Canis lupus familiaris: one gene and its partner. The protein of the gene in region 1 purifies or fractionates together with the protein of each later gene. This does not show direct contact. Links are inferred from orthologs where the notes say so. Each region holds a gene or a part of one and is shown in the gene's direction. Other genes may lie near its edges. The genes, in order: RAD51 and SQSTM1.

Region 1 (2,638 bases):
TGCTCAACCGCTGAGCCACCCAGGTGCCCCGGGAATTAGTATTCTTTAGCCTTAACAATTCTTACCTAATCAAGCAATGTCTTTGCTAGAGAATAATTTCCAGTCTGCCTGAGTTTTCATTACAGTCTAAAAATGTTCTGTATTTTCTTCTAGATATGGCCTCTCTGGCAGTGATGTCCTGGATAATGTAGCATATGCTCGAGGGTTCAACACAGACCACCAGACCCAGCTCCTTTATCAAGCATCAGCCATGATGGTAGAATCTAGGTATGTGCTCAGTAGAAGACACTGAATATGGCCTAGAGCCCTTAACCCTAAGTCTTATGTAGACTATTTGGCCAAATTGATAACTTGAATTAGAAATGGGAAGATTAAGGGGGTGCCTGGGTGGCTCAGTTGGTTAAGTGCCTGCCTTCAGCTCAGGTCATGCTCCTGGAGTCCTGGGATTGAGCTCTGGATCCAGCTCCCTACTCAGCAGGGAGTCTACTTTTCCCTCTCCCACTTCCCCTGCTTGTGCTGTCAAATAAATTTACCAAAAAAAAAAAAAAAAAAAAAAAAAAGAAAGAAAAAAGAGAAAGAAAGAAAGAAATGGGAAGATTTAAGTTTTGGTCCTTCTTAGTCTGACACTGTTGTGTTGGGGTTCGGGTCAAGTCACTAAGAAATGAAGCCGTAATTCTCTTGAACTGGTTGAAAATTTTACTTATTATATAGTGCCTCAGACATGAATGCTGTACAAATATTTTAATAAAACATTTATGTATGAGTGTAACTACGAATATGAAAGTTTAAGGTACTGAGAAAGGGAGCACAATCTGACACAGGCTCGAAATAGGCTTCATAGAGTCCTTGTTTCCTATAGGTATGCACTGCTAATTGTAGACAGTGCCACTGCCCTCTACAGAACAGACTACTCAGGTCGAGGGGAGCTTTCTGCCAGGCAGATGCACTTAGCCAGGTTTCTGCGGATGCTTCTGCGACTTGCTGATGAGGTAAGTTGGGGAATGGGGACAGAGAATGCCCAATTTTCAGGGGCCTTGCTGGGAGGCCAGAACGTCAGAGCCTAGTGTCATAAAGATAACAGATATGAAGAGATATATTAATCATTCATTACTTTGTGGAGAAAGGGGTGGCAGCAATAAGGTCCTTTGGCCACAAAAAAATGACATTTATCCTTTCTCTGTCAGTTTGGTGTAGCAGTGGTAATCACCAACCAGGTGGTAGCCCAAGTGGATGGAGCAGCCATGTTTGCTGCAGATCCTAAAAAACCTATTGGAGGAAATATCATTGCTCATGCCTCAACAACCAGGTAAAGTGATGGAATAGGAGACTTTGTCTTGGAATGTCATATTAATGAAAGTAGACATGAAGATACAGCATTTCCATTTAAAACCAGTTAAAGCTATGTTTGTATAATTAGACCCAGGAGTCCCTGGCTAGACAGAACTGTCATGCTCTGGTTAGTGTGTATGTTTGCTTTTAGTTTATAAAGGAATTAAAAGCCCTCAAATATGCAAGAATGAATATGAAGGATATCCCTCTCCCTTATTAAGAAAGTAATTGTTTCAATATGGAAAATCCACTAAGGGGCGGGCGGGCAGAGTAGGCGTGGATTCCTCCAGGTTGGAAATACCCCTAAAGAATACAGAAAGATTCCCCCAAAGTCCTAAGAAGTATTTAAGTCTGAAGAAGTTTAGATCTACCATGAATAGGAAAAAGATTTTAAAATTATAATAACTGGTCTGTCTCTTTGGGTCAGGCTGTATCTGAGGAAAGGAAGAGGGGAAACCAGAATCTGCAAAATCTACGACTCTCCCTGTCTTCCTGAAGCTGAAGCTATGTTTGCCATCAATGCAGATGGAGTGGGAGATGCCAAAGACTGAAGCATTGGGGGTTGTCCTGTGAGAAACCTTAAGTGCTGCAGCCTAATGAAGAGGACTGCTCCCTGGGGTTCTTCATAGGCCTCTTCCTGTTGTGACTGCCAGAAAAAGGCTTCTGGAAAACCGGTTATTGTATCGGCTTTTCTGATGGTATTAACAGGAGACAGGTCAGTAGTCACAGACTGATCTGAAATGTTTATTCCGACTGAAGCGTATTGATTTCTATGTGAATTATTTCAGGGGAAGTAAGGAATACCTTTGACATAGTGCCTTGGGGTTGATTCAGGACTAACAGCTACCTACTGGCCAATCTTTGGTTTTCTTGCAGACATAAGCTGGGAAGACTGGATTCTTTTCTGTTTGGGTAATGTTAAAATGCCTAAGTGGCAAAGAAAGTGGGTCTCCTCACAGGTTCTTTTTCTTCTGCCAGTAAAACTCTTTCCATCAGAAGCAGGTTAAGTTAGTTTGCCTGAATTATCTTAGGTAAAAGTTTGTTTTTATTTTTTTTTTTTTTTTTTTTTTTTTTTTAAATGATAGTCACAGAGAGAGAGAGAGAGAGGCAGAGACACAGGCAGAGGGAGAAGCAGGCTCCATGCACCGGGAGCCTGATGTGGGATTCGATCCCGGGTCTCCAGGATCGCGCCCCGGGCCAAAGGCAGGCGCCAAACCGCTGCGCCACCCAGGGATCCCTAAAAGTTTGTTTTTAGTTAAGGGCTACAGAACAAGCCTACTGGGCCATCAGTCCGTTACCGTCTACTTGC
Region 2 (4,245 bases), on another chromosome or scaffold:
AAGCACTAGCCACACCTGTGGAGACAGGTCCCTGCTGTGTTCCCATAAGCAAATCGCCTTCCCATCCGATCGGAGAGCAAAGTCCACCCACCCTTCCCTTCTGGGGTTCCCATTTCTTGAGGTTTTCCCTGTTCCCACAAACCCCACCATGAGAGGACATAACGTTGACTCTGCAAGTCTGACTTCTACTCCTAGGACCCCACCTGGGAGACTTCATAGGGTAATGTACCCTTCCCCCACCTTCCTCCAGACCTGTGAACAGGTGGGTTTTGTCACATAAAGCAGTGTTACTTGGTTACCAATAGCTGGAGGGCTATTGGTCTGACCTCTGGGATGCCCACGAGGCCAAGAGGCCTGAGACCACACAGGCCCTTTTGGGCACCACCTGCTGCAGTGAACTCTGTGTAGACAGGTGGGTGACTGGCTGCCCATGGGGAGTCTGTTGGACTGTACCGAACACCTGATGCCCAGCGAGGCTCCAGGAAGCCTTGGCTGGCCCTCTGGCCAGGCGAGGGTGAGAGGACCCTGTACAGTTCAGGCACCTTCCCACCTTCCCCCCATTACACTGGGAGGTCCTCTGATGCTCAGGCCCAAGTCTGCTCAGGCCCTGGTTGCGTCCCTCAACCCAGGAAGTGGCCGTCATGGAGGATGCTGGGGGCGGTGGAGCAGGCGGCCACCCGCACAGCCAGGTGCTTCCAACGGACAGGAGAGCACCTCAGGAGCCCGTGCGTTGGGCCCCTTTGACCCCCGCCCCCCTCCTGCCTCAGGCATCCCCGGCGGCCTCCGTTCGGCTTTGCTGAGTCACGGCCAGGGCCAGGCCCGGGAGGGGTCTGGGGCAGGACCCCTGGGGGGGCTTCCCTGCAGGGGAGGCGGCAGGAGCCCAGCCCCAGGTGCCGGCAGCGTCCGCGGCCGGCCCCGGGGGCCCCGGGGGCCCCGAGGACAGTAACGGGGGGTCGGCCACAGGGGGCGCCGGAGACCCAGGGCCGAGAGCGGAGGGAGGGGCCGACGGAGGGGAGGGGGCAGCGAGCTGGGGCCTCGGCAGGGCGGCTCGCGCGGGGCGGCGCGGGCGGGGGCGCGGGGGGCGGGCCGCGGCGCGGAGCTCCGCCCCCGGAGGCGGCCAGGGCGTGGCCTCCCTCGTTTTCTACAAAAGCCGCGCGCCCCGCGCCGCCGCGGCCCCGCCGCTCCGCCGCTCCGCCGCCCGCCGCCCGCCGCCCGCCGCCCGCCGCCCGCCGCCCGCCGCCCGCCGCGATGGCGTCGCTCACCGTGAAGGCCTACCTTCTGGGCAAGGAGGACGCGGCGCGCGAAATCCGCCGCTTCAGCTTCTGCTTCGGCCCCGAGCCCGAGGCGGAGATGGAGGCGGAGGCGGCGGCCGGGCCCGGGCCCTGCGAGAGGCTGCTGAGCCGGGTGGCCGCCCTGTTCCCGGTGCTGCGTCCCGGCGGCTTCCAGACGCACTACCGCGGTGAGCGGGCCGGCGCCGTCGGGGCGGGCGTCGGGGCGGGCGTCGGGGCGGCTGTCCGGTGGGCGTCGGGGCGGGCGTCGGGGCGGGGGCGGGGCGCTCGGCGCCGCCCCTCCCCCACCCCGCCGTGACGTCGCAGGTCCCGGCGACCTCGCGCTCCAGTTCGGCTCGCCCCGGCTGCCGCCGATCGGGGCTGGCGGGGGCTGCGTGGGGTGGCCCCGAGGGTGCGCGGGAGGCCGGCCCGAGCGCGGAGGTTGTCCGCCGGCGGGAGCTCGCTGCGTTTCTGGCCGCGCGGTGCGCCCGGCGGCCGCTGGGGGTGGGGTGCGGGGTGCCGCGCGGCTGCGGCCGGGGGCGAGGCGGGCAGCCAAGGCCGGCCCCTGGGAGGGGCAGTGCCGGGACCTCCCTCAGGAGCGCTGCCGGCTGGCCAGACCAGCTCCTGGTTTGTTTTTGTGACGACTTTATGGAGCTGTAGTTCACGTCCCATGTACTTCGTCCCTTTAACGTGAACAGTTGTGAGAGACTCGTGCATCCGTGCTCACAGGCGTAGGAAGGAGCTCTGCTTCACCTGGGAAAGGAACTCTGCTGCTTAGTTTTCTCTGTGGAGGTCCCTATTCTGGACGGTCCGTGTAGACGTATATGTGGCACCCCAATCTCACATATTCTTTTGTAACTGGCTTCTTGTAGTCAGCATAACATTTTCAAGGTTTACCTGCGTCCTTGTATATGTCCGTACTTCATTCCTTTTTGTGGTGAATAACATTCCATTTTCTGGACATACTACATTCTCTATCCACTCGTTAGTTGGTGAGTGTTTGGGTTATCACGTTCTGACACTGCCATTGTTCTTATGGTGGCTGTTTTTATGGTGGCTATTGCATCCAGTGGCCCACAGAGCTGGTTCAGCCTGCATGGTGGTACTTTAACATCCTTTGCTAAATCTACAATTAAAAATCAAAGAGTATATATGAATACTTTAGCTTCGTTGGGGGCAGATGTACTCATCTGCTTGATTCTCCTAAACCACAGGAGGCCCAAGGCCTTTGGAGGGGTCATAGGTGAGGATCTCCTACAGTTGAAGATGGGTCTGGGCCCAGGCCTGATCAGATGTGCATGGAGGTGGCAGCTGGCTCAGAGGCAGAGTGGCAGGAAGCCAGTTGCCCCTGCACAAACATGCTCTGTGTCCTCTGGGTGCCCAGGGCCCAACTTGGAGGACTTAACTTGTAGGCAGTGGCACAATGAACAGGCAATCTGGCCTCAGCCCTGCTGCCCACTGGCTCACGCAGGTGTGCTTCGGTTCCTAGGCCCGTGGATACCCTTCTAGCACTTTTCAGTAGCTTGTGTCCCACAGAGAAACCTTGGGTGCTCACGTGCTGTCTTTTAAATAATCTAGATGAGGATGGAGACTTGGTTGCCTTTTCCAGTGATGAAGAACTGACAATGGCAATGTCCTATGTGAAGGATGACATCTTCCGCATTTACATTAAAGGTAAAGGTCTGATTTGGGTGCTGCCTGAAGCTGGATGCTTCTTGCTGAGTAAGACCTGTTTTGAGGTTTTGGAGAAATCCCTTCAAAGTAGTGGAGAAGAACCTGGGAGTGGTTTAAGACAGAATCACCTCTGTGCTTGGCCTGAGAAAGGAATCCCAACGACCACAAGGGGTGGGGCCTGAGGATCTCTGGGTTCTCTCTTGATTGTGCCCAGACTAAGGGGGTAGGAGGGGGCAGCTTTGGGGATACCATGGGGGTTTATTTTAACACGGGGCAGGGCCAAAGCTGTACAGACACAGCTCCCTGCTGCTTGTCACTTGGCCTGGGCCACATGTACCTGGATAACAGGCACGGGACTGGGACCCTCCCAGCAGGTTCTTGGGTCCCTTTGTTGCTGTCCCTCCAATGGCTGAGTTCTGCATGGACTCTGTGTCTGGAGAGCAGGGCCAGGGGTCCTGCTACCTACAAGCTCCACAGTGGTGACAAATGGGAAACTTACAGGGTCCCACCTCATGGCTCTTTGTCCTCCCTGTAGAGAAGAAGGAGTGTCGGCGGGACCACCGCCCCCCATGCGCTCAGGAGGCACCACGTGGCCTGGTGCACCCCAATGTGATCTGTGACGGTTGCAATGGGCCAGTGGTGGGGACCCGCTACAAGTGCAGCGTCTGCCCGGACTATGACCTGTGTGCTGCCTGTGAGGGAAAGGGCCTGCATCGGGAGCATAGCAAGCTTGTCTTCCCCGGCACCTTCGGGCCCTTCTCAGAGGTGAGTGGGGCTTCTCTCCAGGCTGGGGTGGGCACCGGGTGCAGGGAGGCATGCTCTGTTCTGGTGTCACTCTACCCCTCTGCTACCTCCTCTCTAGGGCTTTTCTCATAGCCGCTGGCTCCGAAAGCTGAAACACGGGCACTTTGGGTGGCCTGGCTGGGAGATGGGTCCACCAGGGAACTGGAGCCCGCGTCCTCCCCGGGCTGGGGATGCCCGCCCTGGCCCTGCGGCAGAATCAGGTGAGGCTTGCATTTGTGGGCTACTGTGGCGGGAGCTGTCAGGGCTGGGAGAGCTGGAGGGCCTTTCCCATGTTCTGCGTGGCTGCTGAGCCTGTGGCTGGGGGGGGGGCGGGGCGCTTAATCCTCAGCCTTGCAAAGTGGGGAGTGTCCTCTTCATTTTGCACACAGGACATGGAGGCTCCTGATGGCCCATGGCCACTGATTCACCTACACTAGATTTAGACTCGGCCCAGTCCTAAACCACACCCCATCTTGTCAAGCCTTTTTATTTATTTATTTTTTTTAAGTAAGCTTTATAT

What was found.
Region 2: the proteins of RAD51 (region 1) and SQSTM1 purify together in Homo sapiens (affinity purification with western blotting; 3 studies listed by BioGRID). This does not show direct contact. The link is inferred for Canis lupus familiaris from reciprocal best matches to the Homo sapiens genes RAD51 and SQSTM1.

Annotation. Positions count from the first base shown.
Region 1 is NC_049251.1:8,161,338-8,163,975, forward strand, and holds the end of RAD51 (DNA repair protein RAD51 homolog 1), read left to right. Parts: intron 1-153; coding exon 154-267; intron 268-859; coding exon 860-989; intron 990-1,184; coding exon 1,185-1,306; intron 1,307-1,756; coding exon 1,757-1,880; 3' UTR 1,881-2,067; downstream 2,068-2,638.
Region 2 is NC_049232.1:2,132,518-2,136,762, reverse strand, and holds the start of SQSTM1 (sequestosome-1), read left to right. Parts: upstream 1-1,218; 5' UTR 1,219-1,248; coding exon 1,249-1,459; intron 1,460-2,142; exon of another isoform or gene 2,143-2,260; intron 2,261-2,846; coding exon 2,847-2,942; intron 2,943-3,477; coding exon 3,478-3,707; intron 3,708-3,804; coding exon 3,805-3,946; intron 3,947-4,245. UniProt on the Homo sapiens protein: Molecular adapter required for selective macroautophagy (aggrephagy) by acting as a bridge between polyubiquitinated proteins and autophagosomes.